Arabidopsis thaliana: one gene and its partners. The protein of the gene in region 3 binds, or shares a complex with, the protein of the main gene of each other region. Each region holds a gene or a part of one and is shown on either strand. Other genes may lie near its edges. The genes, in order: AT5G20170, AT2G22370, AT5G02850 and AT3G10820.

Region 1 (6,430 bases), 6.2 Mb from region 3:
CTACCTATTCTAGCAGCCTTCCAGAAAAATCCTCGAAACCTGCAATAGTAATTAATCAAGCAATTTCTATCATTAATATGCATAGAACAAAGTGATGACTGAGGGCATTAGATGCAAGCTATAAATACAAAAAAAGCACTAGGATGAAGTAACATTTGCAATCTAAAGTAACAATATGCAGAGAAATCTGACAAAGCATCTTTAATTTGGCAAAAGACAATGCTTGAAAACAATAACCGGTGTCAAAGCTCCAAATGTGTTAGTGTTATCGGTTTTGAGAATAAAATTCACGAAAAAGGAGAACAAAGAAGGTACAAACCCAGTTTTCTGCTCTAAAATGGCAGGGAACTGCATCTTCAGATATGTGCATGTGCAGATCACAAGCAGCACCACCGTCAGAAACGAATGGAAATTGAACAAAGCTGACTGAATTTATCAAAGATAAACAAAACTCTTAGCTCAAAATCACTGAAATTAACAAAATTTAACAATGGAACAGAGAAGGCAATAACTACCATTGTATCGGATCACTGAAGCACTTGAGAAGCTAATAATTGTTTCCTTGAATCTGAAATAACCAGAAGAAAAAAAACAATAATGGGAATCACATGAGAATCGATTCGAAGACACAGACATGCCCAAGAAGAATCATAACTAAACACATGAAAAACTGAGCAAGTACAATTATCGTCAAAACCTAACAATTTATCACTACCGAGATTTGTAGAAGAATAATCAAGGGAATATGTTCATCTATTCGTCACTAATAAATCAGATTTACTATATATAGAAGCATCTGTGAATTTCATAATTATCAGATCATATAGTGAATCCAACTCCATAACGGTGACTCTCTCTCGAGAGAGCAGCAAATCAGAAAATTGAGAAATATCGATCGGTGGATGGGATGATACAAAAAAAGGGAACAGCAAACCTGAAGTTGAGCTGAAATCGATGCTAATGGCTAGAGAAATTAGGGTTTTGAAGCTTGAATCTTAGCAAAACAGATCAGCGAGACGTCAAGAGAGGGATCGAGAGACGGAGGAGAGAAACGTTCGCGTCAGAGTTATTCTCGTTTTCTCTACATATTTCCAATTCTACCCCTTTCTTCCTTTAAGTACTAAAGTCATTATGATTTCAAAGATTTTTTAAAAAAGAAAAATTGATAATATTATTTGAAATAAAGATGTTTTATAATAATCATCAATCCTTAATCCATAAAATCCACATTTCCAACTATTCAAAAAAGTGATGTTTGGGCTAGACACTAGAGTCTCACTAAACCATTGTAATCTACAAATCTTGAAGAACTAAACATGTTCACTACTTGTCTTTCAGCATTTACAATCTCTCTAAAGCATTGCGACCAGTACCACACAAGTTGATCAAATCCATGAGAACAGAGTACAAGACATCCAGAGACAAATGACCCAACAACTTCCTACTCTCCGACACTCCTTCCCTCTCCTCTGTGCATCCATTCTCCATCACTAGCCACCACGAGATGCATCCTTTTGCGTCTTCCGGGTTTACATGCGCCACCAGGCTCACTCTCTCCCCTTCCACTATCTCTAACGATAGTGACAGAAATTCCCTGCTCGCTTTTGTCCCTACCGTCCGTGCTTCCTCCAGTAGCCAACACACTATCTGGCTCGCCACCTTCTCAAATAAATAAACCGCGTGTTTAAGGGACCGTGTTGCTATAGACATGATCAACTTTAGGAAACGAAAGAACATACCTGTTGGAGAATCATCACGGGAAGGTCGGCCACGTCGCACTCGTATTTGTTTATAGAGAATAGATTGCAGGAACTGCTTTTGAGTAAGCCAACCACATTGGGCGTGCATTCCGCTTCAACACTAATACAATCATCCTTCACCACCACTTTTGTCCGGAACTGCGTCTTAAGATTCCTCTTACCATCAGGAGACTGGGTTTCAGACCTTCCTTGGGGGATGATTGATGGAGGAACAGTCATGAAGACAGTCCATGACGATGTCCGAGAATTCCATGTAGGATGAGATATCAGATGAAGATACGGGACCTTGCAGACCTGTTCAATGAGGAAGTAACCATTTTTTTTAAAGCATGATCAAAGATGACAACAAGTTTCTTGATAGAGAAGGATCATTCAATAAAGTTTAGCACATCAGGGAAAATACCACGCTTTCAAGATGCACAAGAACTCTATTTGAGAAGATTCTATGAGTCAAAGATAAGCAGAAATGGTCAAGAAGTCCGGAGTTGCTGTCCTTTTCTGTTTGATTGGATGCTCTGATACTTTTTGACTTGAGCTGATCTTTAGCTTTTCCAAAGGCATGCTCGTGAAAAATTTGTTGCAAGTATATTTCATAGCTGGTGCGATTAGGGAACCCTAGCTTCTTCAAGCGATAGTCTCCTCCTTCTGCTGGTTCTACTCTGCCAGATGATTCAATGAGCAAGGTTGCAGATTCCGACTTCTTGATGCTGGGATTTTTGCCTGATGGGTGGAGAGACACAAACAGAGAAGCTCCTTGGCCGATGCTCATTTCCATAAAATTTTCTCGTAGTCCACTTATGTTGAATCCCACACCTTCATTGAATGCTTCACGATTTAGCATGTCAAACAACTGGTAAGAAGACCAAAGAAGTGAGAAATAGTCGTGAAGAGATATACCAAGCGTACTACAAGATATATGACAAAAATACCACCTGCTCAGCAAAAATTGATTTATGCACCTCCCTCAGTAGCGAATGAGTTTCTTTAACATATTTGTCGTCACTTGCAGACAACTTCTCTGATGTTCCAGGGATATCGTGACCAGTAGTCGAGTCTATGTGCTCATCAGATTCGTTTGAGTTGCCAATCGGATTTAAGCCAACATACCCAAACCGAAGAGAGTACCATGAATCTTGGGGTACATTAATGGCCAGCATACCAGCTGAATCATGATCTACACGAATAGTGGACAGTGTAGATGGGCGAAAACCAGAAGTCGGATCATATAATGAACTGTCAGAAAGATCAATGGTGAAGCCCTCATTGCTGGCATTTGAAGCAAGCATGCGTTGTCGCTTGACTTTCCAGTTCCGCTGCAACCTATAAGCTTGTTAGTATAGCAAAAATAACCATTTGCACGTATAAATCAATCTCTATTTTGGAAGCTGAAGTCAGCTTATCATTTTATACAAATTATGAGCAATTTCAACGGAAATTCTCTAATTTGTGTTGGCATAATCTTAAGCAGTCACTACACAACAAAATGGATGTTCCTGAAGTACTGTACTATGCAGGTTCAGTAACAGAGACGGTGTAGAAGTCAAAATTTAGAACTTTTTCACATTAGACAAGAATAATAAAATGCTTTCACGTTTATCAGTCATAAGTCATAACATATTACAAAACCTACGTGCGTAATAACTCTACATCCAAAATTCGGACGCTAATTATCTGTGCACAACACAAATAGCTATGACATTGTAAGCTACCTAAAACTAGTATCAAGAATGCAAACAACAAATTCTTAAAAGTTGCAAAATAGTACTAAGGAAAATAGCCACTGACATTAAATGAAAAGCAAGTACTCGAACCTGATAAGAGCACCATAAAACCTTGCTTCACGATTGATTTTCTGCTCTAAAGCTTTTGCTGATTGTTTAAAGTAGTTTCCTAAATTCTGCAGAGGAAACAGATATTCAGAAGTGAGATAAGCATACCATCCAAAGACAATTATATAGTTAAAAAGCTCTTTACGAAACCAAGTTAATGTTTCCAACAGTTTCTCAGGATACTAAAAAGTGCCTAACTAATAACAATTACAAGAATCCTTCCATCTTTAAGCAAAGTTAAATTGCACATAAGAAAGTAAGCTACTGATTACCCGGTAGCCCTGCAGCTTGGTAGCAGTAGACACAGCAAGATCCGAGAGAATCTCATTCGGCATCGGCTTAGGTCTGGTCATCCCAGCAACTGTTACTGCATCATTTGCTTGGACCTTCAAAGATAAAATCAGAAGATAAATTGTTTAAGTTTTACTCTCTATTCAAATATCAGAAACCAAACTTCAGCTCCTTCCATTCAAACCAATAAAACAGACACTGTAAGAGCTATGAATATCCCAAAATTCTTATCTATTATCAACAAGAGTCACTCACTGTGTCGATAAGGTCAATGATGACAGTGAGCTCCTGATGAGCCAATTGCAAATTCTCAACCATTCCCTTCCATTTCCATTGCTCCACGCTATCCTTGGAGCTTTTCTTCTGCTTCTTCTTCTTCAGCTCATCTTCCTCTTCCAACGCCCACGCGAAGTCTATTCTCCGAATCAGCGATACTCTCTTATCATCGTAATCAACATCACTACACGTCAAAAACAAAAGGAATAATTTAGAAGCAAAACAATCTGGGAAGATTTTGTCTCGTTTCTCAAACACCAGACAACACTTACGAAGGAAAACGCTCGGCGCCATTTTCTTCGATAGATTCCAATCGTTTAATGGGAAGCCTGTCGAGAGAGATTTCCATGTCGCTATCCATATCGTACAGAAAAAAATCTTCCCGGTCAAAAATTCAGATTTTCTAGGTCGACGGTAACACAGTCCGGCCAAATCGCTTCAACGCTCCAAATCGGATATTTAGATCTAATAATCCGGGTCAAAAAAATTCCGGATCATTTTTACGGGTAAAGCCCATTAAAAGCCCAAAATATGTTGTACTCTGACTGTGCAAAACTCCTCCGTAAAACCCTTTCATTTGCATTTGGGAATCGATTGCTCTTCTTCGTAGTCGCCTTTGAATTCGCAGGTATTTTTTTGTTCTTCGCTTGATGGGTTCTCGTTGATTATCACTCGATTTCGTATCTGGATCTATTATAGGGTTTTCTCTTGTGTGATTCCGTGTAGTTAGAGATGGATGCTTCAGATTCGTTTTACTTTTGCTTCCATCATCGGATCAACTAAGGATTGCAGTTTTTCTGGTAGATTAAGTAGAAATGATATGTTTAGAGGATACAATCCTTAGTTTTGAATCTTAAAGTTGAATACTTTGAAGAGTTCTCTTTCATTTTCATCTAATGAGTTTTGTGTTAATGATCGGTTGTGAATTGCAGAGTGAGAAGCAATGAAGGTGAGATCATCTGTGAAGAAGATGTGTGAGTTTTGTAAAACAGTGAAACGTCGTGGACGTGTGTATGTTATATGCTCTTCCAATCCTAAGCACAAGCAAAGACAAGGGTTCAGTTCCTTTGCTTATGAAGGAATTACACCTTCCCCTTTGTAAGTGAATCTTGTATCTGGTTTTCGCTTTTGAGTAATTAGGTGTCTCATTCGGATTTTGGACGGGTTAAATACAGTGTATATTGACTACTGTGAATCACTTACTACCCAAATTTTGTCCTATAGAATCATTGAATGAAAAGTGAGGATCTATTTAGAGTCTGTTGAACAGTTACTAAAATACATTATAGTGGAACATCACACAGAAGCATGAAGCATGTGCACTTGTTTTCCTTCGCAGAGTTGAGAGTAACTTACTTAAAAAGTTATTTGGGATTGTAAAACAGGTTTGCTGAGCCGATTGCTAGTCAGGAGTTGGTGAGGCTGCCTGGTCAGGGGGTATCAGCCGGACTGGCATCACTTTTACACAAAAGGCCTATGCCAACAGCGTATTTCGGATGGAGGTCTGGTCTTGCATCCATTCTCTTCAAACAAGGAAATTAGGATGTCAGCATTTCCCTTTTTATTCTTCAGATTTGTAATCGCAGTTTTCTTCCAATTCCTATGAAACATTATTGTATATCTCTCCACTTTTACTTTGGTCAGTCGTATGCTCCTTCGAGACCTGTTTGATTGTGCCTCGCATGACCTGAACAAAGAGATATATTATGACACTCGAGTATTTGTTTTTACATTTTCCACTGGAGCATATGTTAGGGATCAATATGTTTTTCTTTTAGAAAACTCTGGTTAGTGATATCCACATCGATTACATGCCAAGGAAATGAGCAAATTGTGGTTGAATTTGTATTGACCGCGTACCAAGTAGTTTGAAATATGTTGTGGCTCATTTGCGCATGTTTATAGTCAAATTTCACTATTCCAAAATGAGGCTGCACAAAGCACACCCACTAAATGCGAATCAAATACAATGAAACTGGAGAGACGGAGACTTCTCAACGACAACGACCCTTCTCTTTCTCCACCGTTGAGCACTCGGCTCGTAGGTCCTACGTGGTGGTGTGAGAGGTCACAGGAAGCCCACTCTGATAGGCATATCCCATGGGCCCCGCTTCTGGACAGTACTACTTTTGGACATAACAAGCCTTCTTTATTACTTTTTGTTGTAGTTTTCCCTCAGTCAAATCGTTAACAGCTTCATTCCAAAAAAATCACCTCACCAATAATTGTCATACTCTTTCGTAATTTCCATTTTTGAGCTGCAATTTTAACCAA
Region 2 (4,584 bases), on a different chromosome or scaffold from region 3:
CAAATTCCTTGGCATCTTCCACAGGAACCGATCTCTGGTTCTCTAAATCCGTCTTGTTACCAATCAAGATGATGACAATGTTCTTATCCGCGTGCACTCGTAGTTCTTCCAACCACTGAGGAATGTGCTCAAAGCTTTCACGTATTGTCATATCGTAAACTAACATTGCACCAACAGCACCTTTGTAGTAGGCTTATGTAATAGCTCTGTGTCTACTCACAGCAAAAGAACAAGAATGTCACTAATCAAACCAACCACATTGCTATGTACAATGGAGAAAACATGCCATGCACAATGATTAGCCACTTGGATGTGAATGTGATCATCACTACATAATTTGATTCTTCAGGAGAATGCTATAACAACACATTACAATGTTGCCGAAGAACAAAATCGAACAATTCCAACACTAATGGTCCAACTTCTAAAAGAGTCGATTACTCTCTAGTCAAAATGAGGTCACTCTCAGGTACACACGAAGATCAAAATCGAAATTGAACAGCAACACTGTAACATCATCGAGTTCGAAGCAATATTTTATCCATTGTTAAATCAGAGAAGATAGAACTAAGATCGGAGAAGGATATAGTACCGTTTCTGGCCTGCGATGTCCCAGATCTGAGCTTTGATGTTCTTATCGTCAATAACGAGCGTTCGAGTATTGAAATCGACACCGAATTGTGGCTTTGGAATCCATACTGAATTCGTCTCTTGTGAACCGAGCTCGTAGCTGTGACTTCCCAACCGCTGAATCTCCGTTCAAAACAACCTTGAATACGTAGTCAACCTCTTCTTCAGCCATCTTCTTCTTCGCTCGCAGTCGGCGATCGAACGACGTCGATTTTCTCGCTGTTTTTACACTCTCCGGTGGACTGAGAGATTAAACTAATCGTAGGGTTAAAATGTAATCCTCTACGGTAGAGAGTACTAGAGTGTATGGTAGTCAAAGTCGTCATACGTGGATTTGATTAATGATTGCTACACGTGTATCGCATTGATAGGTTCTCTTGCTCGGATCACTAATACATAAACTTGGATACAACCCAAAGCTTGACCTATTTTTGTTGAACACCTTTTTGTTTTTATATTTTTCATCCTCTGAAACAAGTCCATAGACTCTTGTATTAATATATCCTGATGATATTTGGTTTTACATTTGCATCTTGTATCATTGTAAACAATTCATAAGCCTTCCCACAAAAGCATGCTTGGCATTTGACAATTGGCAATTCATAAATGATGCATTATAAGCATAAATATCAACTTGGATATTCAACTTGGCCCGTGTATTATGCTACCTCTACAAATTTGGTGAGGTAGGTTAAAATGAGGCCGGTTTGAGTTACCGGTATATTAGACGAGCATTAACATGATTACACACTTGAGGATATTATTGACGAATGAAGAAACTAAAATGGTTTAGTTAATGCAAAATTGAGGATTCATTCGTCTATTGAAATAGAGAAGAATTGTTTGAGGCTAAAATAAATATATTTACATTTTTCCTATTCTCCTCCAAACTTTTCGTAAACATGGTTATTTGACTTATTTTTGAACTTTTTATCTAATAATTTAAAGGATTGTGGTGATGTAGTGGCCACTTAATCTACACAACATCGCAATAATTTTGACAAAATTTTCTACATATTTCTTGTCAACAATTATAAGGAATTAACACATTCTACTTAGTAGACATTTACAGTAATCACAACCAAGATGAAATAACCATATATAAATATCATTTGCTATGTTCATAAACTTTATCGAAACTAGTTGACTTCTTAAAATGCCAACTAATTAGGTTAGGGTTCATGAACTTTTTAGCAAAGATAGCACAAACTAAATTCTATCTTCAACCTAACTAATGACGGTTTACTCCGGTTAACCGGTGGTTATGTTCTCATCATGCGGCCAACTAAGCTAATGGGCTATTTGGTGATCACTAATCAATGACCGAGATGCACTAGAGTTTTTATTATGATCGAGTTCCCAAAAAAGGGGCAACAAGAAAAAACGAAATGGCCTATACAGGGATCGAACCTGTGACCTTCGCGTTATTAGCACGACGCTCTAACCAACTGAGCTAATAGGCCATCTTGCTTTATCTACAGCTAACTACTATATAACAACTACACAAGTGATTCTAGTAACTAGCTAAAATTCTCCGGTGTTAAAAAATCTCAGATTCGCTCCCGAGGACGATTTAGGAAGCTTTCGTTAGTTTTTCCAATTTCGGATTTGGTCTTGTTGAGAATATATTTACGATTTTAATTGAGAGATTTTGTGATAGCTCAATGTCAATGGAGTGTGTGGTTCAAGGAATCATCGAGACACAGGTTCGTTTGTATTTTTTGATTGACGAACAAATCCCAAGTTTTTCGAGTTCATGGATCAGCTTTTAGCTTTCTTATGATGTCCAATTGATAAACCCTAGGCTTGAATTTTTATTAGAATTTGATTAGATTTTCTACTGGATTTTGCAGCATGTTGAAGCTCTTGAGATTCTTCTTCAAGGTCTTTGTGGTGTTCAACGCGAACGTTTAAGAGTTCATGAGTTATGCTTAAGAAGCGGCCCAAATCTTGGTAAAGCCAATTCCTTTTGTTAAATTCAGAAACTTGAAGCTTCCTATGAATCATACATGATTCACATTTGTGAAATCTTCACTTTTTCAGGAGTTGTGTCATCAGAAGTTAGGCTATTATGTGATCTTGATCAACCCGAACCCACATGGTACAGCTTCTTCTTGTTGTTGTTGTTGTTGTATATGTTCTTGTTTCATTCAAAGGAAGCTAATTTAAGAACCATAGGACGGTTAAACATGTTGGTGGTGCGATGAGAGGTGCAGGAGCTGATCAAATCTCTGTTTTGGTTAGAAATATGATTGAAAGTAAAGTAAGCAAGAATGCTTTGCGTATGTTCTATGCACTCGGTTACAAACTAGACCATGAGCTTCTCAAAGTCGGATTCGCCTTTCATTTCCAACGGACTGCGCACATAAGTGTTTCTGTATCTTCTGTTAATAAGATGCCTAAAGTTCATGCTATAGATGAGGCTGTTCCTGTAACACCTGGTATGCAGATTGTTGATGTAACTGCTCCTGCAACTTCTGAGAATTACAGTGAAGTCGCTGCTGCTGTTTCATCTTTCTGTGAATTTCTTGCTCCGTAAGTTCATCTGATATATTTTACAGCACCTGTGATAGTGTCTTTGATATAAGCTTCATCAGTGATATGATTCCTTGTGTTTTCAGGCTTGTTCACTTGTCGAAACCGTCTATCTCCACGGGGGTTGTGCCAACCGCTGCTGCGGCGGCTGCATCTCTTATGTCGGATGGAGGAGGTACTACATTGTAAGAAGTTTGAAGTTAAAAACAACTGTTCTTGTGTTCTCTCTTGTTAGATCTTTTGGTCCAATCTAGTCAATTTTCCAGATTACACAATGGTTGTGAAATCTTGTGAACCATTAGAGTTAAGTATTATTTAATGAGAATCAGTAAGGGATCTTTAATAAATATTCTTTATAAATCACAACTTGCATATGATCTTTGCTCTTCTCTCAACCTTTTGGTATTATGATGTTTCATTGTTGTCACTTGTCAGTAGATTGATAGTTTATGAAGCTTCGAACATGATTAAAATAATGTGAATGTCTTTGTGGAATTACATACTATTTTATTTATCATTCAATCACTAATAAATTCCAATTTGAAAGCCTATTAAAACCTAACATATTAAAAATTTGAACCACAAAAAAATGAATTCTAAAATTCTTCCATTTCCACAACAATAATCATCTTCCTCCACTTGCTTCTTCTTTTTTCAAGAGCCATTCTAAATATCACAAGCCAGAGTAGAAAAATGTATATGTATAGAGAGATTCATAATTTCAATGTCAAAATTTTCGTGTTTCTAATCATCTACTGGTGCTATTAGCAGTCTTGTTCTTGCTCATATCAGCAAGCTCTTCAATAAGTTTTTTCTCCTCTTTGCTCAATCTCTTAGGTATCTCCACTTGTACTCTCACCAACTGATCTCCTCTCATATTACTCTTGTTCAATACCGGAACTCCTTTTTTCGCCATCACAAGCGTCGTGCTAGGTTGTGTCCCAGCTGGAACTTTCAAATCTACTGTCCCATCCACTGTTGGTACTTTCAGTGTCGTCCCTAAAATCGCATCGATATACGATATCTTGCAAGTGTAGAGAATATTTGTATCGTCTCGTTTCAAAATCGGGTCTGGGATAACTTCTATAACAACAAACAGATCGCCTGGTGATCCGCCTCTCTTCCCGGCATTGCCTTCTCCTCTCACTCTCAACCGGCTACCTGAATCAACCCCGGCTGGTACTTTGAGACTTATCCGTTTTGTCTTCCTCACGCGTCCGTCTCCAGAGCAAGTACCACACGGCGTCGAGATCTCTCCAGTGCCATTACAGGACGAGCAAGTCATGACTTGTTGGAACACGCCCAGAGGAGTTCTAGCTGCTGAAACCACTTGGCCTTGTCCGCCACACGTGGTGCATTTGGTCGGTTTGGTTCCAGGTTTTGCACCTGAACCTTCACATGTCCCACAGCTCTCGAGCC
Region 3 (4,818 bases):
TATAGCAACAACAGAGTTATCCAACATGGATTGATAATCCTTTTGCTTCATAAACCAATCAAAAGCACGCAGAGCCAAATCGAATTTCTTATGAAATCCTAATCCTTTAAGAAAAGCTAGTAACTCCGACGAGGTAGACTCTGGTTTATCCTTAAAAGGCTCGAATAGCTCAGAGAGTACAGAATCTAATTGACCGGAATCAAAATTGGGTTCGATGAGGGAACGAAGAACTTGCTGACCTTGTGGAGAAAGACCATGGTAAGACCAAGGTTTACCGAGGTTAGGGTCACGTGACTTGCCAATTCGAGTCCGGTTACGGTTTCTAGATGTTTGAGAGCTGATGGGTTGTCTGGAATTAGGGTTCTGGTGAAGGAAAACATCGTGGAGGAGAGGCTCTACAGGCGGAGGAGGTGGTGACGAAAGAGACGTAGTAAGAAAAGGCGTCCGAGAGATATGGTGGTTTTGGTCGTGAGAATAAGGTTTAGAGGAAGGAGTGCAGGGAAGGAGAAGAGGAAGAGCTAGCTTGTCCGCCATTAGAGGTAGTAGTAGTAGTAGAAACTAGAAAAGAACCAGGAGGCAACCGAGAGTGAAAGAAGAAGAGAAATGAATGGATATTTTTGTCAGATTTTTTTTATTATATTTTTTTGTTCCAAGAACACAATTTTAGTTTTATTTCCCTACAATTATATTCGACCACGTGGCTAGTCCAGATTCAACAGGTTAGATCTAAATGGGCTACTACTTATTTTGTCAACCCATTATATTATTAGAAGCCCAAATGGAACAATAAACTGTACAATAAAGAAATGGGCAGAAAGAGCCTCTGATATGTATGTATGACCTAAGAGGGATTTTACTTTGTCGTATAGAGAGATCGATCCAAAATGTCAAGTTGCATAACTCCAATAGTTGAACATTCTGAATTTTACTAATAATTTGAAATTTGAAGCTAAAGAATGATTCTGGAAAAAAGATAACCAATAATTCTGTAAACTGAATTAGAATCCAGGGTTTTCGTAAGAAACAACTTTGATACATCAAAGATACTGATAACGATGAAGCATATACTAACATCTATCCACATAAAGGCACTGCTAAACAAAACGAAACCAAGTAGAAAATCAAACTTGATCAAGAATTAGCAGTAACATTGGTCAAATCATTACCTTACAGAGAACCATCAATCACAATGTTGATTAATCCTCATCATCTGAGCTTGCATCATCGCTGCTGTAATCACTGCTATCATCATCCTCCAAAATGTCAAGTTGAACAGCTCGGACCTGTATGACATCAGGCGGTCTGTGGAGTCCCTGAGAAGGTCTCATATGTTGATGATCCTCTGCTCTAGGTGCAGCAATTGACTCCAGTGGCGGTAACACAACTGGGTCGCCTGGTTTCCATCCAGGAGGTGGCAATGGTAAATCTCTAGGCAATTCGACTGGCATTCCTGGTTTCCATCCTGAAGGAACTGCGATATTCGGCGGAAGCAGGTTGTGAATAGCAGATATATCCATAGCTTCTGGTGGTGGTGGTGGCTCAATCAGTGCTTCAACCTTCTTCTCCATGTTTTCTACTGTTTTCGGCAGACCGATATCAAGATCAGCGAAAGTGTAGAGCTGGGAAGCTCTCATTTGTTCGTCTTGTGGAGCTGGTGGTAATGCACCACGGAGAGGTGCTTGCCCTGCACCGAATTCCGGCGGAGCAAATGTGGTGTAGCTAATCTTGTGAGCGTAAGCTAATATGTCCTTTAACTTGAGCTGAGACGAAACTGTGGTTGAAGAAGAAGAAGACTCATTATCATTGTCTTCGTCATCTTCTTCAATTTTGCTTCGTTTTGGTTTGCGGTAATCGGAGTAGTCGTCAACAAGCATATCGAGAACACGTTCTGCATCCTTGAGTTTGTTAGCGAAAGCGAGAAGAGATGAATCTTTGGATTTGATCTCACGCGCCACCTTCTGCTTCGCGTCTTGCAGATCGAGGATCTCTTGAAGCTCTGTAACGGCTTCGAAGAGCTGAGTCTGGAGGGAATTGAATTGAGAGAGGATCTCCTTCGTGGATGAAGGACTAGGGTTTTCAAGCGGCGGCGGAGGTGGTAACGAGTGTGAGGAGAGGAACGAAGGGAGAGAGCCACGGAAAGCTGAGAGCCAGATAGCTCGATTGGGAGAGACGTCGAAGAGCTTAGATGTCAAAACCGCCATCTGCTGGAGAAGAGCTTGAGCTCGCGGTAATGGAGGAAGGAGCGATAGCAAGGCGGAGGATGAAACAGCCGCCGAAGCTGAGGCTGAGGAAGCGGCGGCGACGGTGGAGGAAGGAAGTAGATTAGGCTGTTGTTGGATCTGTTGGTGCTGAGATTGGGAAGATGAAGAAGAGGTTGGATGGCCATGACGAGTAGGCGTCGGATTTTGTACGGAAGGAGAGCCAGGACCTGTTAACCCTAATCTCGCCGGAGATTGTACGATCTGATGCTGTAGCATCTTCGCCGACGGCGAAAGAATCTCTTAAATCGAAGATAATTAAAGAGACGAAGCTTCTCTTCTCTGTTTAGTGTTCAACTGTTTATACAAAATTCGCAAACCCTCAGTATCAATTAGAAAAGTCTAAAGACCCGCTAAAACCATACCGATACGGTTCAATTTCCTAATTACCATTAACCTGGCTTTCGAACAATTGTTATTGACAATAACAGAGACGAATCATGGACGTTAACGCTTGATACAAGTGCAATACAACAGAGTTATGTATCTCACTTCCGAGTTAAGTAACAATTTGCTACTGTGTTACATAGCTTTTGGTTAAACAGATAACCAGAAAATAACCAATCAGAGAACGAGGTAAAGAAACTTACATATTACAAAAGGCATGAAAAAATAATTATCAAAAAGAAGATACAATTGGTAACCATTTTCTACACACACATACATATATCTACCATTCACACGACTGGTTCTGACCGAAACTGCATATGTTCCTCTTGTTTGTGACGACGACTCAGTTATGTTCTCCTCAGACAACAACCGTAGAATGCATCTGACACAATCCACCATATACAGAGATCAATAGCAATTTGGTAGACCGTAAGAGCAATATTCTTAAGACCTTAAGGGTAGTGTAATCAGAATAATAGCAGCAACGCTGAGAATATAACAGTTATGATCTACAGATCATTCTTATTATGACGTTCGATCATGTGAGACAATAACTACAGTAACAAATGAGAAACATTAAGGTGAAAACCTTAGTGAACTGTGGTGTTAGGTTTCGATATAATCTATTAAGTCAATGCGAACGTTCTTATTATAGTGTTTTATATTGGTGTCGGAGGGATGCGGTATAACACCAAACTTACTTGATAGCTGGTAGAGAGTTGTTGCGAGCAAGAAGTCGTCAAGAAGATATATAACTTGTTGAGTGCACAAACAGCTAAGAGCTTAAGTGTTCATGACCTTCCTCTGCAGCATCAACATATTCAGACTAAATTATGGTTAGATTATATCTCATAGAGCACAACAATCCTCATTTAATCATTGGAACGGTTAAAAACATAACACACTAAAGGCGAACTAGTCTTAATTTCTATAGTTAAACTTCAAGGCAGATAGTAAGTAGGTTTGTTAGCTGTTAGAGACTTTTTCTCACTCATTCTTATCACGAAAAGACAAATGTGCCTCACATACTCAACGAGCACAGAAGTAATGATAAAATTATAACTTACAGTAGGTTCAAAGTCAGGGTTTGACAAGTTCACTGTGAGGTTTCTCATCAACAGCAAAACCTGCAAGAAAAACTGTGATTAGTGACGGATACTAGGAAAAAGAACAATCACTGACAGCTACAAATAGGTACCATGACACCTAAAACTGACTCATGGTTGTAACAATCCCATTATTTGACCAACATCTCCATAGAATCATGGTACTTTGGCTTTTTGGTGTTTCCAACTCGTGAATCTATATATTGCAAGTACTGATCTTTATATTTATCTTCTCACACAGCTGAATTTATTCGGGAACTCAAAGAAGAAGACTAAATGATTGATATGCTGCAACACACATATCAGTTAATCTAAAGGCAAGTAAAGCTCCAACTCACAGTTTCGAAATTTATAGGATCCATTTCCTTGAGCTTTTTCATGCGGCCTTTGCTGTCAGGATCGAACACACTCCCAATGAAGTTATAAACCTCAGCAAAATCAGGAAGACCTGCAAAGCAACCATTACAACAGCGTCCACCACAAAATGAAAACTAAGAAATAGTCCCTCAATTGTTCAGATAATTACCATGCATTGAGGGAGCTTGTTTCGCCAGTCTCAAACCCTTAGAATCTGATAGTGTTCTGCTTGAGCTTCCGATACCAGATGCTGAAGGACTAGTTTCACTTATCATGTCATTTGATCCAACATCAACTGAAACAATGATATGTAAGCCGCATTTAGCATATGAAAACTTCAGAAGATAGAGTGACTAGACTACCAAAGCAAAATATAAAAACTGAGTACAGATGAGAACGCATGCCTTCTGCTCCACAAAGAGTATCAAGTTCATCTTCTGGTGGAATAACCCCACTTACAGCAATGTTTAACAATGCAGATGTATCATCATCCCATGGAGTATATCCAGGCAGGTTATTTATTTGAGTAGGAAAGGACATGGAAACGTGAAGCGACATTTGAGCTGCAGATTTGAGTTGAAATCAGATTGATTACATGTTACTCCATCTGTCAACCCAAAGTAATATCTATTACAATAGAACTAACCATTTTTCGATGCCTTTTGAGGATATGGATGAGCAGCTTTGCGCTTAGGCCTAGGGGGTGG
Region 4 (6,738 bases), on a different chromosome or scaffold from region 3:
AACTGATGCTGGAGAGAACCGTGACAAAGAAGCTCCCACTAGCAACTTTCTAGGGACTCTAGTTGAGTTAACCAAAGGTGTTATAAGAGCAGTATTGAGAGTGGTAACGGGAATGGCGAATATGCTGAGTTCTCTCTACAAGAAAGCTTTAGCAGCTTTCCTCAGATCCTTCCTTGGAGTAATGCTGGTACCGCTTTTTTTTGTCTTGGCTTCATTCACCAGTCATGTCATTTTTTATATGTTGTTAGACCAGAACACTTGATGTGTTTCTAAGGTGGTTGTTTTTTTCACCAGGTGAGGATGGCAATCAATAAATTTGGAGTAACAGCTGTTAGGAACGCGTGGTATGACTCAAAACAAGTGACGGATCATGTCGTGCAGGGTTATACAAAGGTGAGATTTTCGGGTTTTCTCAGGTTTCTTTATTTCTTCTGCATTGTTATGTTAAAAATTTAGGAAATTTGATTGTATTTGTTGCAAAAAAAACAGCCTCTTAAAGCCAAGGGATGGGACAAAGCTCTCGTGGAATTCACGGTGGCTACACTAACAGATAATAATGGCTCAGAGAAAAAACTCCCATTGTCTAAAAGGCTTCAAGAAATCAAATGCCCTGGTAATATCTCTTTCTATAAGATTCTGACAATGAATTAGAAATTGGAACCAAATATTGTGCATTGTATGTCTGAACTCTGAACCAATGACATCATACTATCTTCATGTTTCTAATAGTTCTGATTGTGACGGGAGATACGGACCGTATTGTGCCAGCATGGAACGCAGAGAGGCTGGCACGAGCCATACCGGGATCAGTGTTCGAAGTAATTAAGAAATGTGGTCATCTTCCTCAAGAGGAAAAACCAGATGAATTCATATCTATTGTTGCAAAGTTTCTAGGGAATGCTTTTGGAGGGTCACAACAACAAGACGTGGACTTGAAGTTCCAAGGCATTGTATCATGAAGTATAACTATATATTTTAGCTCAATCAAGACTAAATTTTAGAGAGATTCTTCATGTTATTGGACCTGAAGAAACAAATGTCGACAATATCAAAGACTAGATAGATATAGAATAAAATAACCGAGAGACATTGATTCTTCAACAGATTGATATATAAGCGAGAATAATACACCATGTGGTGCTTCTTGCGAGTGCGGGCAAGTTTTGCAGAGTCCAGTTGATTAGCTTGGAGCTTGAAGCTGGCTTGAAGCTCCAACTCGTCAAGCCAACGCAAAGTTTCTGGAAGAACAAAGTCGGCAACATTTTGAAACTCAAAGCGAGGGGTGCAAAGGACTGTGCAGTCTTCCTCAGCCAAGAGGGCGACATGCTTCTTGTTCGTCAGAGTAGCAGCAGTCTCATCTTCCAGATTCTTCTCATTCGCCTGAGCCATGTACTGCCTGAACTTTTCGAGATAAGCCAAACTAGGGGCGCATCTCATTGCAATAGTAAACATGTAACCAAGAGCATCCACTTTCAGGCGCTTGCACTTGTCCAGTGAATCACAATCTCATGCGGATACTGTGAATCAGTTTCCTTGCATATAGCAACTTGTTGGCGAGCAAGAGACAAGTGAGTAGGATCAAATCGCTGATAGAGGAGGCCACCGGGATGAGTTCGATTGCGGGGAGGAAACTCTCTAGAAACCTTAGAGAGCATATGCATAAAGGTTTTCCCTACGCACCTAACCGTCTCGACGGAAGTCTTATGGATAAGGTCAAACTTAGGGCAAGCCTTGGCCTCGAACCTGACAAAGAGTGATCTCGTAAGGTCCTTGAGAGAAACAGATACGATGGCATCAACAAAATCCTTTTCAGTTAGAAGGACACTCATCTTCTTGAAAATCATCATCTCATCCACCATCTCTGCTTTATCTATCTGCACAAGTACGAGTCCAAAATATACAGGAATATCAATCATCAACTCATCATGTCTACATATGCAGCTAAATTTCAATTCTATGCAATGCAAACAGAGACCATTGTTTTACCAAACCTATGCTCTCACTTATGTTTATCAATAAAGGCCACAAAATTAGGGCTTTTCGATTTCCAATCAAAGACTTTCGGTTGTATCCCCGACGTACAAAATCTAGGCCAGAATTCTTAACAGCTCAACGTTTAACCCATCAGGTTTATCGATAACTAGCACTAGGAAAACAAAATTTACAACAAGGAAAATTGAAGTAGGTACCTTGAGAATTGGGAGGAACTATCACGAGGATTCGCGAGATTGAGGATGAGGGAAGGTAACTCGTAACCCTAGGAATTTATCACTCTGTTATATTTCACCTCATAAGTGATATTAAAAATTACAAAATCTTTGTATAAACAGATTTAAAAAGTTTGCTTGCCTCGCAAGTTAGGTTTAGGGATGGTCAAATACGAGAAGCCCTTTTGTCCTAATAATTTTCTTTTTTATTTTCATAATGAAACATGAAGAAAGTGAAAAAGGGATTTTCCCTTGTCACAATTATGAGGTTCTATTGTCACAAAACCGGACCAAACCGGGAATTCACTGGACCAGAAGTACCAATAAATACTGGGACAAAAGAATAGAGCATCCTAAGAAGTTTATGTTGGATCTGTCAATGCACTTTTGTTGTATATTAACGCCTCTGAATGGTCGTAGTAATTGTATAGATCATCCGAAGGAAAAAATGGACTATCTTCGTGTGGCGGGTCTCTTGAGTTGCGGTTTCTGAACTTTATTTTGCTTTGGGATAGTTTCCAGTACTTGTATCGTCCTCTGTCTCTTAGCTGTTCAAAAACAAATGGGTCATTAAGAATTAGGTGTATTGTAATAGTGGAAATATTGAAATCTCTTAAGACGATTTGACTAACCATTCTCATGTTGGTGGTAGCTCTCTTGGAGTTTCCGCTTTGCAAACTCAAACTTTGAGTCTGGATCCAGAGCTTTGAGTTTCTGAACAAAGACAAGAACACTTGCTATTAGAAACAAAACAGATTAATAATCAAACACCACGGCTTTATTAACTCAAACACTCACATCTTGTTGAGGTCCAGCAAGTTTCCGCTTTTGCTCAGTAACAGCAGTTGGTTTTCGTTGGATTGCGGATACCATTTGTTCTCTACTTTGCTTTGTTTGTCTTTTAGGCTCGACAACATCTGTGGCTGAGTGCTTCATAGGTCTAACATCAGCTTCTTCTCTCCTCGTCTGTTGATCATTGCAGTACCTCCCAACCACATTTGCATCATTTGTTCCCTTGGGTCTCCTCCCCGCACTACTTTGCGATTTTCTTTCATGTTTGGACTCCACACTGTGACGAGGATCTGAAAACAGTGGCCACCATGAGTGTCAAAATATAGGAAAACTTTCAAGTAGAGAACAGAGTACCAAAGAGTATACTAACTCACTTCCATCGCAGTCCAAACAATCTAAGATCTTCAAGTGACCCAAGACATTATGAAACAAGGACGAGGGAGGAAACTTGTCAGGATAACATTTCGTCTATGCCAGAAATAAAATATGATGAGAGGGAAAAATGTTAATAGACCTGAGAAAGTTCAAACCCATTAGGTTCAGGTGCATAGATATCTAAATCATGTGGAGGAGAAGGAAAGGCTTCTTCTTCATCAATTACTGAAAGGTTTAGAGACTCTGGCGTCCCTTCAGTGCCTGCAAGACCCAATTACTATAAATCTAGACCAAAACCTGCTCGCACTGACTACGGAACAGGAGGAGAGAGCTATTTACCAGCCATTTCCTCTGGGGTGTTCATCCACTGGTCCACCAGCCTCTTCCACTCTCTGTGCATCCCATATATAAAAACACAATCTTTATACTCGGGAGCCAGAAAGTAAGGAAGAGTAAAATGTTCTAAGTATTGAGCTAACACAAGAGCAGCTCCCTAATGATCAACCAAGGCTTTTATAATGACATTTTACAATTTGAGACATCCTACAAGGCAACTGGTTTGCATCTAAATCAAACCGTGGAGGTTCAATTTTTTTGGAACATTTTGCCAAAGTTTAATTCACATCACAGATGCGAGAGTATGAGAACAAATGAAACTAAGCACACAATGAGAATGATGAAACTCATACGCGAAAAGAGTCTTTGCAAGTTTGCTAATCTTATCGGAACTATGTCTCCTCAGACCATTAACAGCCTTTCCAATTTCAGTATCCTGCAAGAACGTAAACACTTAAATCACTCCACAGCCTCGAAAAGCTCCATCAGAATAAGCAACTTCCACTACACCAAATCATACAATATCAAAACAACACCAAAAAAACAAACCTTAAGAATGTCCACACTCATAGACATTGACTCAAGCTTTCTCAGAGATTCGAGTAACACAGAATCTTTCTGCAAAAAAGATGACAGAAACCAAAAACTCAACAATCAACACAAAGATTCCAAATTTAACCAATGAATTAGCACAAGTTTTAATGTAATCCAAGCAAAGAGACTAAAAACCTCATCGTCTTTGTTCGACAAGATATCTCTGATCCTCATAACCTCATCAACACTCACAGACGCCTCTTCACCTTCACCCGTCGCAACACCAGAATCACCCCTATCACCGCCGCCGCCAACTCCAACTATCTCCACCGCCGCTTCGTCTCCAGCTATCGAGAGCTCAAGGTGGTCACAACCAATGCAGCGACTCACTTTACAAGAGAAGAGAAGCTCAGCAATTCTATCACTCCTGGATTTAAACTCCTTTGGCCAATCTGCAGCAGCTACCATAATCGCATGATCAATGATACCAAAAATATCAGAATCTCCTCGCCGGAAATACTCTCTCCAAGTATCCAACGAAACAGATGGTCTCATCTTCGCCATCACGAAACGGCGAGGGAAAATCGATTCCGGAATCCGAATTCCTCGATCTGCAAAACCCTAATTAAATTTGAATTTAGGTTTTTGAATACGAATCAATATAGTACTAGTTGTGTAGTTTTTTTTTTTTTTAAGTTTCTCTGCAGGAAATAAAATTCGCCTGAGAATCTGACAAAAGTTTCTGCAGAAAGTCCACAAGAACTTTCCCGAGAAAACTTAAAGAAACAGAGCTTGAGCCAATTAAAAGAGGGCAAGAGAAGAAGACCCTAGAATTTTAAAAAGCCAGAAATTTATGTCGACATTAAAAAACTTAGGTTATAAAAAAAAATGGTAATAGTTTTGATCATTTATCTTGATAACTCATCTGTTTTATTTAAGTAAAATATTGAATTTGTCAATATATATATTAATTCTAAAGATATAGGCTTATGATTAACTGAATGATTATTTAGTTAATAGTAAATTAGTAATAACTAGACTATACATGTGTCGTCCTATATGACATAATGACCCTTGATGAAAAACACGTCACATGGCCTAGCTAGTATAAAGATGGGATATTCGTTTTTTTAAAGTTATGTTATCAACATTACATTCAGAGCATACTGTAATAGTAAATTATTAACACATTACACATGTCCTGATACCAACAATGGGGTACTCATTTTTCAAAGTTATGGATAATTACATTTATCACGTGAATTACTTGAAAGGTAATCTAAATAAACGCGTTTTTGGTGTCGCAATTATGTCGTTTTAAAAAGCATTGTTCATAGTCCCACAGATGTTTAGCACTATTTTTTAATTAGTACTAGTATTAAATTATTATTTTTGTATTTTTTTCATTAAATTTCTCGTTAGTTTCGTGCTTTGACTCTTTTGTTAAGCTTCAGCCACATGTTCCCGTTGTTGAAGCTGTCTTTTGAAGTTTCGTCGTCGATATCATCCTCGACTCTATTTTCAGTTGCGTTAAAGACTTCTCTTCTTCCAAAAGTTTCCTTTTCTTCTATTTTAAATATTCTTTCAGCACTTGGAGATTCACAAGTTTGTCGGATCAATCCATTTTAACTCCGGTAAGCCATACTTGCATGATTCGTTTTGTTTCCACCGATCACATGTTATCGTTTATGCTCCATAGCTTAATCTTTGACTCATTCATGATCTTTTTTTGGTTTAATGTTAAAACCCATGCATGATCTTGTTTCTGCATATTTTTGTTTTGGTTCAGTGTAAAAATTTCTGCATAATTTTGGTTCTACAAAAATAGCTACTATGCAAAAGCAAGATCACGGGGTCAAAGATTAAGCTATGGAGCTTAAACACTACTTGTATTTGACTATTTGTTTCTACGTCATTTGCGTTTGATTTGAATCTAAAGGCCTTTTAATCGATTTCTTGTCATGTGTTTGTAAGGGTTCAGTGTTTTATGTATCTTTCAAATTGTGCTTCTAGTGTATCCATTTTGGATTTGTGAAAGTTGTTTAGGGCTTATATATCTAAAATTGTAAAACCTATTTTAAATTAATATAACAAAACAGTTTCGGACTTTTAACTCATAATATCTCTTCGAATTTAGTTCATTTTCCAACTTTGAAATTCGTTGGCTTGTGATCTTGAAGCCTTGTTCCGTCCGGAATTTATGTTACTTAGTCACCAGTAGAGTTACAAACGATGAGTTATTTTAATCTTTTTTCTAAAAGGTCCTTGACAATGGTTTGACGAGAAAAAATCGTTTTTCCTTTTTGCAGATCCATGACTACGACTAGGCGGAAAAATACACATTGGTGTCATACTTGTAGACGAGGAATCCATCTTCAAGGAGAAGGCAGAAGAGAAGGAGCTTGCATTTACTGTGGTAACACCTTTCTTGAAAGGCTATATGAGAATGTTGAACTAAGCCCTTTTGATTTATTCGGATTAGCCTACGAAGAAG

What was found.
Region 1: AT5G02850 (region 3) and AT5G20170 share a complex: the UniProt entries of both Arabidopsis thaliana proteins name them as parts of the mediator complex.
Region 2: AT5G02850 (region 3) and AT2G22370 share a complex: the UniProt entries of both Arabidopsis thaliana proteins name them as parts of the mediator complex.
Region 4: AT5G02850 (region 3) and AT3G10820 share a complex: the UniProt entries of both Arabidopsis thaliana proteins name them as parts of the mediator complex.

The regions. Positions count from the first base shown.
Region 1 is NC_003076.8:6,806,213-6,812,642, forward strand, and holds AT5G20170 (RNA polymerase II transcription mediator), read right to left. Parts: upstream 4,708-6,430; 5' UTR 4,518-4,707; coding exon 4,429-4,517; intron 4,341-4,428; coding exon 4,136-4,340; intron 3,976-4,135; coding exon 3,862-3,975; intron 3,658-3,861; coding exon 3,572-3,657; intron 3,081-3,571; coding exon 2,693-3,080; intron 2,611-2,692; coding exon 2,164-2,610; intron 2,055-2,163; coding exon 1,740-2,054; intron 1,660-1,739; coding exon 1,342-1,659; 3' UTR 1,163-1,341; downstream 1-1,162. Other genes in the region: AT5G20165 (kish-A-like protein), read right to left, coding at 5-39, 154-222, 320-426, 516-518; AT5G20180 (Ribosomal protein L36), read left to right, coding at 5,100-5,254, 5,542-5,698. UniProt on the Arabidopsis thaliana protein: Component of the Mediator complex, a coactivator involved in the regulated transcription of nearly all RNA polymerase II-dependent genes.
Region 2 is NC_003071.7:9,499,789-9,504,372, reverse strand, and holds AT2G22370 (mediator of RNA polymerase II transcription subunit), read left to right. Parts: upstream 1-2,162; 5' UTR 2,163-2,294; coding exon 2,295-2,336; intron 2,337-2,483; coding exon 2,484-2,583; intron 2,584-2,673; coding exon 2,674-2,731; intron 2,732-2,808; coding exon 2,809-3,165; intron 3,166-3,251; coding exon 3,252-3,354; 3' UTR 3,355-3,589; downstream 3,590-4,584. Other genes in the region: AT2G22360 (DNAJ heat shock family protein), read right to left, coding at 3,914-4,584. UniProt on the Arabidopsis thaliana protein: Component of the Mediator complex, a coactivator involved in the regulated transcription of nearly all RNA polymerase II-dependent genes.
Region 3 is NC_003076.8:649,818-654,635, reverse strand, and holds AT5G02850 (hydroxyproline-rich glycoprotein family protein), read right to left. Parts: upstream 2,589-4,818; 5' UTR 2,478-2,588; coding exon 1,197-2,477; 3' UTR 873-1,196; downstream 1-872. Other genes in the region: AT5G02860 (Pentatricopeptide repeat (PPR) superfamily protein), read right to left, coding at 1-534; LCL1 (LHY/CCA1-like 1), read right to left, coding at 3,424-3,474, 3,716-3,775, 4,093-4,202, 4,281-4,406, 4,516-4,674, 4,758-4,818. UniProt on the Arabidopsis thaliana protein: Component of the Mediator complex, a coactivator involved in the regulated transcription of nearly all RNA polymerase II-dependent genes.
Region 4 is NC_003074.8:3,385,428-3,392,165, reverse strand, and holds AT3G10820 (Transcription elongation factor (TFIIS) family protein), read right to left. Parts: upstream 4,967-6,738; 5' UTR 4,809-4,966; coding exon 4,440-4,808; intron 4,329-4,439; coding exon 4,260-4,328; intron 4,147-4,259; coding exon 4,064-4,146; intron 3,767-4,063; coding exon 3,714-3,766; intron 3,636-3,713; coding exon 3,514-3,635; intron 3,402-3,513; coding exon 3,374-3,401; intron 3,290-3,373; coding exon 3,006-3,289; intron 2,922-3,005; coding exon 2,840-2,921; intron 2,756-2,839; coding exon 2,662-2,755; coding exon of another isoform or gene 2,661-2,661; exon of another isoform or gene 2,538-2,660; coding exon 2,504-2,537; exon of another isoform or gene 2,258-2,503; coding exon 2,190-2,257; intron 2,014-2,189; exon of another isoform or gene 1,930-2,013; coding exon 1,473-1,929; 3' UTR 1,163-1,472; downstream 1-1,162. Other genes in the region: AT3G10840 (alpha/beta-Hydrolases superfamily protein), read left to right, coding at 1-187, 295-393, 490-613, 730-959; AT3G10815 (RING/U-box superfamily protein), read left to right, coding at 6,558-6,738. UniProt on the Arabidopsis thaliana protein: Component of the Mediator complex, a coactivator involved in the regulated transcription of nearly all RNA polymerase II-dependent genes.